Linked DNA regions of Xenopus tropicalis. The protein of the gene in region 1 interacts with the protein of each later gene in a pairwise test. Links are inferred from orthologs where the notes say so. Each region holds a gene or a part of one and is shown in the gene's direction. Other genes may lie near its edges.

Region 1 (4,193 bases):
GCAAAAATTATTTTATTTTTATGGGGCGAAATTGGTGATAATTTTGAGTAGCAAACATAAAAAAAATGTATAAACAACACGTAAAACTGTGTATAAGAAAAGGCCATGGCAGTTAGAGTACAAAGTAACACTGTTGTGGGCACACATTTAGCGATACTGACATGAAGAATCCCATTTATATGGCTAATATATATATATTATAGGGCAGCCCATACATCAGGCGCACCCTCCAACCAATCGGCCCTTGGGCTGAATAGGCAGGGACATACATGGTATTGCCATCTTTCTATTGTTCAGATTGTTTTATTTTTTAAATTGTTAAAAAAGCACAGATGATGAGACAGGAGGAAAGGAGCTGTTTGAGCCCCACACACTGGCCAACATGGGGCATCGGCAGATGGGAGCTGCTTGGTTTCTGTGCTGAGTGATGGGCATGTGACTGACATGAGATTGATTCATGCTCATTCCCTGGCCTTGTTGTTTTATTACTACAGGTAATGCACCTATTATCTATAATGCGTTGGAGCCAGGGCCTTCTGGGTAAGGGGTCTTTTTGTAATTTGGGTCACTGTGCCTTCAGGATACTGGAACAGGTCTGGATTGGTACTAAAAATAGGCCCTAGTATTCCAAGTACACAGAGTCCCGTCCCCCCCCTCCACTAAATAATGACTGTCTATGGCAGGGATCCCCAACCTTTTTTTTTTTACTCGTGAGCCACAGTCAAATGTAAAAAGACTTGGAGAGCAACACAAGCACCATAAAAGTTCATGGAGGTGCCAAATAAGGGCTGTGATTGGCTATTAGGCAGCCTCTATGCACACTATCAGCTAACAGGGGGCTTTATTTGGTAGGAAATCTTGTTTTCATTCAACCAAAACTTGCCCCCAAGTCAGGAATTCAAAAATAACTCCCTGGTTTGGGGGCACTGAGAGCAACACCCAAGGGGTTGGGGAGCAACATGTTGCCCCTGAGCCACTGGTTGGGGATCTCTGGCCTATGGCATCTTCAGCAGCCCCTGTGGCATTTGCCAGAATCCACAGATTGTCAGTCTGGCCCTGAACTGGATACATTTATACATGTGCCATTGCTGACTGAATGGGGCCATGTGGCAGCAACTCAGCCCCAGGGGATTAGCGCACACTGTGCGCCTTTGCATTGGGTGCTTTTGGCCCAGCTCTATAGAATACACTGGGAGAAAGCGCTATTTGGCTAATATGATGGATGTGGCTGATTGGGCAGGTTAATATGTATGCGGCTCAGGCAGCTGCAGAAAGGCAAAGTAGAAAGCCCAGTGAGCTGATTGGCGCAGGTGGGCCGCCGGCTGGCTGATTGCGTGTCCCAGCAGAGAGCGGCGCTAGGTACATATACATGAGAGTGCGCCGGCCCCTCCCCCAGTAGCGCTGCATATTACCGGCGCATTAACAGCCCCGCTTTGCACCATGCCTTCCCCTATCCCTGTGGAGCGCTTCCTGCCCCGGGACCTGTCCCCATCCATAGACCTGAGGCCATGCAGCAGCCCGCTGGAACTGAGCCACCGCAAAGTGCCGGGCAGCGGCCGCCACCGCCTCCTCCCTCCCCGCCTGGCCTGGTGCAGTATTGACTGGGAGCAGGTGCGGCTGCTGGAGCCGGTGGGTTCCGGGGGGTTCGGCTCCGTGTACCGGGCCATATACAAAGGGGAGACCGTGGCGCTGAAGAAGGTGAAGCGTTGCACCAAGAACAGCCTGGCCTCCCGGCAGAGCTTCTGGGCCGAACTGAACGCAGCCCGGCTCCGCCATCCGCATGTGGTGCGCGTCCTGGCCGCCAGCGCCTCTTGCCCCGGGGACCCCGGCTGCCCCGGTACCATTATCATGGAATACGCCGGGACCGACACCCTGCATGGCCGTATCTATGGGCGCTGCCCGCCGCTGGGGGCTGCCGTGTGTATGCGCTATGCCCGACACGTCGCCGACGGACTGTGCTTTCTGCACCGGGATGGGGTGGTGCATCTGGATCTGAAACCGGCCAATGTCCTGCTTGCCCCGGGGGGCCTGTGTAAGATCGGGGATTTCGGCTGCTCTCAGAGGCTCCGGGATGGGGATTCTGCTGGGGGGGAGCCGTGTTGCACCCAACTCCGCCATGTCGGGGGGACCTACACCCACCGAGCCCCGGAGCTGCTCAAGGGAGAACCCGTCACTGCCAAAGCCGATATCTACTCGTTCGCCATTACCCTGTGGCAGATGGTGAGCCGGGAGTTGCCCTACACCGGGGACCGCCAGTGCGTTCTCTATGCGGTAGTGGCCTATGCTCTGCGGCCGGAGATGGGCCCGTTATTCAGCTGCACGGAGGAGGGCAGAGCGGTCCGGCACATTGTGCAGAGCTGTTGGGCAGCCCGACCTGAGGAGAGACCGAGTGCCGAGCAACTGCTGGAGAGACTGGAGCAGGAATCTGCCCTGTACAGAGGGGTCTCTTCCTCCCCTAGCGCTCAGTATACCTCCCCTCCTCTTAGCGCTGCCCATAGAGGCCCATAGAGACCCAGCGCAGGGACCCCCTCAGCACTATAGTACAGGATATACAGCCCCAGTACAGGGACCCCCTCAGCACTATAGTACAGGATATACAGCCCCAGTACAGGGACCCCCTCGGCACTATAGTACAGGATATACAGCCCCAGTACAGGGACCCCCTCAGCACTATAGTACAGGATATACAGCCCCAGTACAGGGACCCCCTCAGCACTATAGTACAGGATATACAGCCCCAGTACAGGGACCCCCTCAGCACTATAGTACAGGATATACAGCCCCAGTACAGGGACCCCCTCAGCACTATAGTACAGGATATACAGCCCCAGTACAGGGATCCCCTCAGCACTATAGTACAGGATATACAGCCCCAGTACAGGGACCCCCTCAGCACTATAGTACAGGATATACAGCCCCAGTACAGGGACCCCCTCAGGGCTGCAGCACAGGGCATGTAAACCTAGAACAGGGATCCATTCAGTAACTGTGCCACAGGAGATCTAGCCCCAGTGCAGGACTTATTTTGTACCACTGGCTCCCACAGACTTGGCCATACAGATGCAGTACAGGGATCCACACCAGACTGAAAGAATCCCAGGGATCAGATCAAGTTGCTGGGTTCCACACAGTCATGTAGCAGTGGGCACTAAGGAGACACCTTGCTTGGCCAGAGGGTCTGAATGATGACTAGGTGCTCTGGGATGCCTGTGCCTTGGAATCTGCCCCAGACTACCTGCATTCCAAGCAGCTGAATACTTTGCAGGGACTATAGGAACTGGTTAACACCTGGTGGCACAAACTAACTGCACCTTATGAGACCCGCTGGGTTGGTAGAGCTTTCCCAGGCCAAGACTTGGCATTAGCCATAATGGGTTTCTGAATGTGTGGCACTGAGTCAAATATGTTTTGCACATTTCATTGTCTGCATTTTTATCTTGGGCTTGACTTACTCTTCTGATTTGTGTGGGATTAATTCCTTTTCCTGGGGGCTGTTCACACCAGCTATGTTAGAAGCTACATGCTGGCGCTGTCCTATGATCATTTCAGTAGTGATTGTATTGGCCGGCTAATGTATAAGCCCATACACAGCCACTGTATTCATACAACTGAATTGCATTTAGATCAGTAGCAGGAATGGGCCTATTTTTCAGTGTTTTATGTGTGTCTGGTGTTTTATGTGTGTTCTCTTCTCATATGCACTTTATGATGCTAAATGTAGGAAGCAAGGGTTTCCCTCACAAAATGGTCATGCCATATAGTGCTGTCATTCGTTATCCTTGTTTGGTATTTCATTTTTTTTGTATTGTGGAGGAAACTAGTTACTTGTAAATCCAAGTGCATTCATAGGTAGAAGATTGTGATATTCCTGTCATTTATTATTCCAGACTGTAGGCAGGGATCAGCTGAACCATCGCACTTAAGCCAACAACTAAGCAATTCTGGCAATCTCAGTTCCACAACCACCTATTCTCAGGTAACATAAGTAGAAAGGCCCTTCCCATGATATAGTACAAACTGAGCATCTCGGTGTCCCTTATTTTATATGGGAAATGCTTTCATCCATATTCCCATTCTCCGAGCAGTGAACTGAATTGTACAATTATTGTCCCTACGTGTGATGTTGGTGCAGTCCGTAGTACAACTGTAGTGTGCAATAGTCTACACCATACATTAATATGTTTGAATTAAAC
Region 2 (3,760 bases), on another chromosome or scaffold:
GGATAATGTACCCCCTACTGTAAATGATAAGGATATTAGCAGTCACTGAGAGGTTCTGTGCCCATATAAAGGCACAAGGCTGCAGGCTGAGTTATACAGGGAACTCTGAGTATCACTCATGTATTATAAGGGATAATGTACCCCCTACTGTAAATGATAAGGATATTAGCAGTCACTGAGGGGTTCTGTGCCCCCCATATAAAGGCACAAGGCTGCAGGCTGAGTTATACAGGGAACTCTGAGTATCACTCATGTATTATAAGGGATAATGTCCCCCCTACTGTAAATGATAAGGATATTAGCAGTCACTGAGGGGTTCTGTGCCCATATAAAGGCACAAGGCTGCAGGCTGAGTTATACAGGGAACTCTGAGTATCACTCATGTATTATAAGGGATAATGTACCCCCTACTGTAAATGATAAGGATATTAGCAGTCACTGAGAGGTTCTGTGCCCATATAAAGCCATGGCAGAATTTTTTGTTGACCTCTCAGTATATATTACAGGTTTGTGGGCACATCTGGAACCATCACCATTAAGGGCAGGGAGGGTATGGCACACTCAGGCAGCATAGGGTAGGCATAGTATGGTACATAGACAGTATAGGGCAGGGAGGGTATGGAACACACAGGCAGCATAGGACAGGCAGAGTGCTGCCTGTGTGTGCCATACTCTGCCTACCCTATGCTGCCTGTGGGAGGTGAACCTGGCAGGGGTTTGTGGGAGTTTGTTAGCAGTTGGAAATAGTCATTATATGGTCCCTAAGGTGTGTAATTATGTGCTGGGGGTTGCTGTGCTACACACAGGGGAGGAGGCATATGGATTTAAGGGTATGTCTTAATATGACATAATATAATTCTTTAACATATGAATGATGGTTGATATCCCTGCAGCGACCATTGTGATAAAATGGGTGTGGTTTAAAATGGGGGAGTGGCCAAAACTGGCTTCCATTAGCGGCCCTCCACCATGTATGCGAGAGAAATTCCGGCCCTCGGCACCGCAGAAGTTGGACAGCACTGCCTTTATATGGGGGGCACAGAACCTTGTGCCTTTATATGGGCACAGAACCCCTCAGTGACTGCTAATATCCTTATCATTTACAGTAGGGGGTACATTATCCCTTATAATACATGAGTGATACTCAGAGTTCCCTGTATAACTCAGCCTGCAGCCTTGTGCCTTTATATGGGCACAGAACTCTGAGTATCACTCATGTATTATAAGGGATAATGTACCCCCTACTGTAAATGATAAGGATATTAGCAGTCACTGAGGGGTTCTGTGCCCATATAAAGGCACAAGGCTGCAGGCTGAGTTATACAGGGAACTCTGAGTATCACTCATGTATTATAAGGGATAATGTCCCCCCTACTGTAAATGATAAGGATATTAGCAGTCACTGAGGGGTTCTGTGCCCATATAAAGGCACAAGGCTGCAGGCTGAGTTATACAGGGAACTCTGAGTATCACTCATGTATTATAAGGGATAATGTACCCCCTACTGTAAATGATAAGGATATTAGCAGTCACTGAGAGGTTCTGTGCCCATATAAAGCCATGGCAGAATTTTTTGTTGACCTCTCAGTATATATTACAGGTTTGTGGGCACATCTGGAACCATCACCATTAAAAGTAAGGACCTGCGGATAATCCAGCTGGAAATCAGTGGAATGGAGGAGTGCCTGAACATCGCAAGCTCCATTGAGGTAAGAAAGACCTTTTATTTGTCATTGCCGCTGTACAAAGTTTGGACCCCTTTCCACTTATTCAGTGAAACTGTTCTTACAAGGTCTCCTTACCTCATTAGGCCTTACTAGCCATTAGATAGAGGTCGTCTGTCAACAGTTTCAGAGCTGTAAAATCTCTGACACCCCAAACTTTTTCTTTCAACTCTAGCTTCATATATACATGTGGCTACTGTATCCCTGGCCGCAGCCAGTAGCCCAGTGCATATATCTTAGGCCTCCCTTGTCCAGTCAGAACTGACTTTGTTGGTTCCACCCTCCTCTAAGCCCAAATCAGTCCTTCTCTTTTTCAACAAACTTATATAGAGATGAGTGCTGCCATTTTGTTTCCAGTAGGGTACAGCTTATTGTGTGCCCAGAACATTCCATCTCTGTATATTTGTATGTATAAATTGATAGATGGGAATCGGCATGGCAGCTCCACATCAAGACTATAAATACAAATATACAGGAGGCAGCAGGCAGTGCTCGCTCTATATTATGCTTTTAGACTCTGACCTGTCTACTAAGTATATAGGTTTAAATCTGACTGTAATTGGATGACAATAGGGACCTGTGCAAGGTCTGTTATGCCTGCTGCAATGCCCCGGTGCTGTCCTCATCCAAAGGCCTTTTCAAACCTGCCAGATATTTGTCAGGGGGTTCATTGTCCTTTCAGCGTCCAGTAAGCAGCTCCCTCTTTCTGAGGCCTTGGCCCATGTGTGGCCACCATTAGTGTTGGCACATTAGCATCACTAACGCCCTGTTTTTGCTGACCCGCGCAGGCCCTGTCTACCCTGGATTCCGTCACTCTGATGTACCCCTTCTTCTACCGGCCCATGTTTGAGGTAACAGAGAATGGGTGGAGCCTGTTTCTCCCTGAGCAAGAATTTGAGCAACTGGCCCTAGAGGTAAGTGGGCTTCTCTGTAGCCAATGGTATCATTCCTTTTTGTGCCTTTGCTTTTATTTTGTAAGCTCTGAGGTTATGCTTATTTGGACTTGTTAGTGTCTCTAACTCCCTGTCTTTATTATAAGGATATAGCGATAATGCTGCATTCTCTGGTGGTGCCATGCCACGGTGCCAAGCTGACAGCTTATCAGGCCTGGGCCATGCACCCTATCCAGAGAAACTGTGCCACTTGCTGACAGATAGCGGCTTTTTATCGTAATTGTCAGCTTGTGTCTGTAGGGGTAACTTGCAGTGATGTACAGGGAGGAAGGAAGTGAGCAAGTAGGACTGATAATAATGAGTGTCTTTTTGCCACACACATTCCGTATTGTTCCATGTACTTTAATAAAATAACATTTCTGCCTAATTCCCTGCACCCCCATGCACCCTCTTACTGTTCTGCCTGGTGCTGCTTTGGGGCCACGTGTGCTGTGTTTTGATTGGCCAGTTAAGTAGTAAACACAAGCCCGCTTATACTGAAGCACGGAGTACCAGCATGATATGGGGGAGGCTGGACAAACAGTCAGTATTAGTGAATTACAGGCAATGTGTGTCCCACATAGATAAACGTGGCTCGGTATTGCTGGTATAGTAACTGTGCTTTTTTTACTTACAGGAGTAGATCACTTTTTACTTTTATTATAATGTAGACAGCGCTATCATGAGACAGTTTGCAACTTGGTCCTCATTTGTAATTATTTGCTATTAAATTATTTAGCCTTTTGTTCAACAGCTCTCCAGTTTGGAATATTATCAGCTATCTGGTTGCTAGGGTTGGATTCAACCTAGCAACCAAGGCAGTGGTTTGAAAGAGAGACAGGAATATGAATAGAGGAGGGCCTATATAGAAAGATAAGTGATAAAAAGTAACAATAACAGCAAAACTGTAGCCTCACAGAGCAATAGTTTTTGGCTGCCGGGGTCACTGACCCCTATTTGAAAGAGGGGAAAAAATTCAAAAACTATAGAAAATAAAAAGTGAAGACCAATTAAAGAAATGCTGAGAATTGGCCATTCTATAACATGCTAAAAGTTAACCTGAAGCTGAACCCCCCCCCCCGTTAATGAAACGTCACACAAATT
Region 3 (3,760 bases), on another chromosome or scaffold:
TTCTTTAGGTCAGCAAATTGTCATTTATACCACTAACAGAAAATAGTTTCAATAAATACATTTTTCTTTTTAATCTTACATTTACATCTATTGATTATGTTTATTAATTTTAACTGCATACATTTTTATAATGTGCTTTAGGTCATCATGGGAACCTCATGGGAGCACCACCTGTATCAGCTGCACCTACAATAGCAGGGCAGTCTCTTCCAGCTGAACAGGAGCTGTACAGTCAGTATGGGCAAGGAGATATACACAATGGGCCAGTAACAAATCAGATGCAAAGGTATGAATACCCATCAACATTCTTATATCTTATGTCTTAAGGGGCATGTCAACCACAAAAATAATTTTTTGCATAATGAAAGAAAACATAATTCTAAGCAACTTTCCAATATGAAATAATTAAAAATTTGTAGCGCTTTAAATGTTATTTGTAAATGTAATTGCTATTGAAAGCAGCATTTGCTAAACTCCTGGTTGTTACATTTTAAACAATGTTACAAAGGTCTTGCTTCTCCAGCAATACAGGTCTGTCAGTTTGCTGCCTTGTGTTACATTGTTTCAACAGTCTGAGCCACCAGGGCAGAGATTAGAAAAGGACAGGCAAACACTGCTTCTAATAGCAATTATAAATATAAATAACTCAAAAACCATTACAAACTTGTAATAAATGTATATTGCAAAGTTGCTTAGAATTTTGGTTTCTTTTATTAGGCAAAAAAATATATTTTGCGTTGCCTTGTCCTTTAATGCAAAGTGTTTGTTTCCTACAGTAGCACACACATGTATGTGTATATATTTGTGTTAAAAAGATTCCATAGTTACACTTCATTTTTTTATGGATGACTGGAAAGAATATTCTTTTTGCTTTGCTTTATGTATTTTTTTTTTGGCCTTTCAGACCTTTTTGATGCCTATCATGATTTAGGAGAAAAAGCATTGTAATGTGAATGGTAATTAACCTGAAGTTTACTCTCAATTGAGTTGTTGTGTCAAGTACCCTGTACACATGAAACCTATCTGACTCAGAGCTTTTGAAGTTTAATGGATGACAACAATCCTATGAAATATTTTTCTTTAATTATTCATTTCATGCATCAATTCATCTTTATTTCCACAGACCTCCAGTGTCAATGCGATATATGCAACCAGGTACAGGACCACAAGCAGCAAGTTTTCAGCCATATACTCCATCATCAGCCAGTGCACAGCAACAGCAACTGACCAATCAAATGATGGGAATGCAAATTGGTAACATTGCAGCATCAACACCAACATCAACAGCAATGGGTTATGGTAATTCTTTATATTCATTATATTTTTTTTTCTATTTAGACTCAAGCTACCTACTCAAAGTTGCACTAATGCATAAAGGTGCACTAATTGCATATTGAATGAATTTAAATCTAGTCACTGCAGCTTTTAACTGGTGTTTCTGCAATTTAGAAGATTATAATATCATGTATCAGATGCCTAGTTTGGGAAGTGAGTTAATACACATTTATATCATTGTAATTTATTGTAAAGAATTCAAATATTTTGCAACCCCCACAGGTTCTCAGAATCCTCTGCAGCCCAGTTCAGGAAACTTTCCTACTGCAGGATCCGGCTTTCAACCTTCATATTCCAATAGCCAAGGTCCTCCTCCAATAAATTTGACACAGGGAATGCCTCCTACTAGTCTGCCTCAAAGCCAACCACCACAGCAGCGTTTTGCCAGTGGACCACCTCCACAGAACCTTCCTTCTTCACAAGCTCCAGGTTTCCCTCCACCATCAGCTGCTCAAATGCCACCAAGTTATGTGTCTCCTTCTGGAGGTCCTCAACAACCAGTAACACAGGGTCCACCTTTGTCTGGACAGGCTCTACCTGCTCCCCCATTAGCTCATCCAAACCTTGCTTCCCCTACACAACCACCAATGCCTGGAGTTCCACTAATACCTACAATGACTGGTCCTCAGGGACCACCCCCTCATATGCCATCCAGTCAGGATGGATTTTCTCAGCAGAATGGTAAGTCATTGGAAAGGAGATGACATTTGATTCTATGATCTGTATATGTACTACATAAAAGTATCCCATATAATAGTAATGTACTGGCACTTAGTGTTTTGATTGTATTACTGGCAAAGCTTTTCTTGAGTAATGCAGATCAAGGTGCTTGATGCTAAACTAAGTTAACTAAACTAAGTTAAAGACATGTTTTTGTTCTGTAAAAGAGTATGCTGAACCCACATTGATTTATATGTAAATGGGTCTGCTGCAGGGCTATCCATTATGCAGCATTTTTGGGGCAATTGCTTTATAATATATGGACTACTTGACAGCAAGAGAAAACTAGCACTTGGAGGGCTGAAAATTCACTGTTTTACTGCTTATATTAACAAATGATAGTCCACGCATGCAAGGGGATCGCCAGTGGAAAGGCATACTCATCACTTCAACCAAAGCAATGCGTTGGCCTTTCCAATGATGAAACCCTTTGTTGCTGGTTGAAAGGCACTTTGAAGAGATTAGTGGGCCTGGTAGCAGAGATTTATCTTGGGCGATTAGTTCCTCCATGGGGCATTAGCCTTATAAGTGGGAGCCAGAAGTAAGTTGTTATTGCTTTCCTTGTCAGGCATTTTCCTTATATATCTATATGTCTGCATTCCTAGTGGTTTAAATAGTGTCTTTAAATATAAGTGTATAAATACACTTTACTTTCATCTATTAGTTTATTTAACAGACAATAAATGAAACTGTATATTTTAATAGGGTCATTTTTATGGTTAAAGAACAAGGAAAGGCTATATCACTTGGGGGTGCCAAAATGCTAGGCACCCCCAAGTGACTTTAATCGCTTACCTTGTACCCCGGGCTTGTGCCCCTGTTAGGAGAAAACAACACCAGCCCGTGGTACCTGTAGCGGAGAGCTTACTCCTTCCACCTGTGTTTTGCAAGGACTACACGACAGGCGCATGCGCAGTAGAGTGAAAAGCCGACTTCTCTGTTAAAGTTTGACTTTTCACTCACTCACGCGAGCAAAGAGGGAAGGAGGAAGCACTGCGGCTACCCCGTGCTGGTGCTGTTCTCTCCTAACAGGGGCATCAGCCCGGGGTAAAAGGTAGGTGATTTAAGTCACTTGTGGGTGCCTAACATTTTGGCACCCCCAAGTGACTTTGCCTTTCCTTCTCCTTTAAGGGAATGGATGGTAGTAAACACCCGAATAGCACAATTTTTAATATAATTCATTACCATTTATTCCCACATTCAGGTTCATTTGGGCAGGTCAAGGGTCCTCAGCCAGGATATCCTGTGACGTACCCACGTGCTCCAAACTATGGCAGCCAACCAGGACTCCAAGGTCCTCCTGCACCACCACCACCAGCTCCACAAAAAAGACTCGACCCAGATTCCATTCCCAGTCCTGTAAGTATTTCCATAATTTGCACACATTTCTACAAAACAGTAATGTATAGAAAAAGTAGTTACTTTATTTCTAATATGCTTGTGAGTAGCATTTTAAAGGCACATTACTATACTAAACCTTATTCGTTATTCATGTTTTTTTTTTATAGCTGTTTTGACAGTATCTTAACCTTGTGTATGTTGCATTCTACAATACTGGAAATTTACCTCATGGATAACTCATTCAGATGTGTAACAGTTTCTACTATTGATGTGGAACTTGGTGTGCGCTGGAATTTATTTGTCCACTGATTAGACACCTAGTGCAGCATTAATATCAGCCTCAGGAAACAGGAATCAACTAGCA

Evidence for each region.
Region 2: the proteins of mos (region 1) and mtmr9 interact in binary tests that used the Homo sapiens proteins (3 or more experiments, as listed by UniProt). The link is inferred for Xenopus tropicalis from reciprocal best matches to the Homo sapiens genes MOS and MTMR9.
Region 3: the proteins of mos (region 1) and sec24c interact in binary tests that used the Homo sapiens proteins (3 or more experiments, as listed by UniProt). The two-hybrid records come from large-scale screens. The link is inferred for Xenopus tropicalis from reciprocal best matches to the Homo sapiens genes MOS and SEC24C.

Annotation. Positions count from the first base shown.
Region 1 is NC_030682.2:115,736,046-115,740,238, reverse strand, and holds the start of mos (proto-oncogene serine/threonine-protein kinase mos), read left to right. Parts: upstream 1-1,227; 5' UTR 1,228-1,440; coding exon 1,441-2,508; 3' UTR 2,509-4,193.
Region 2 is NC_030681.2:150,904,349-150,908,108, reverse strand, and holds part of mtmr9 (myotubularin-related protein 9), read left to right. Parts: intron 1-1,600; coding exon 1,601-1,709; intron 1,710-2,512; coding exon 2,513-2,638; intron 2,639-3,760. UniProt on the Homo sapiens protein: Acts as an adapter for myotubularin-related phosphatases. Increases lipid phosphatase MTMR6 catalytic activity, specifically towards phosphatidylinositol 3,5-bisphosphate and MTMR6 binding affinity for phosphorylated phosphatidylinositols.
Region 3 is NC_030683.2:44,243,015-44,246,774, reverse strand, and holds part of sec24c (protein transport protein Sec24C), read left to right. Parts: intron 1-141; coding exon 142-286; intron 287-1,123; coding exon 1,124-1,299; intron 1,300-1,557; coding exon 1,558-2,016; intron 2,017-3,259; coding exon 3,260-3,414; intron 3,415-3,760. UniProt on the Homo sapiens protein: Component of the coat protein complex II (COPII) which promotes the formation of transport vesicles from the endoplasmic reticulum (ER).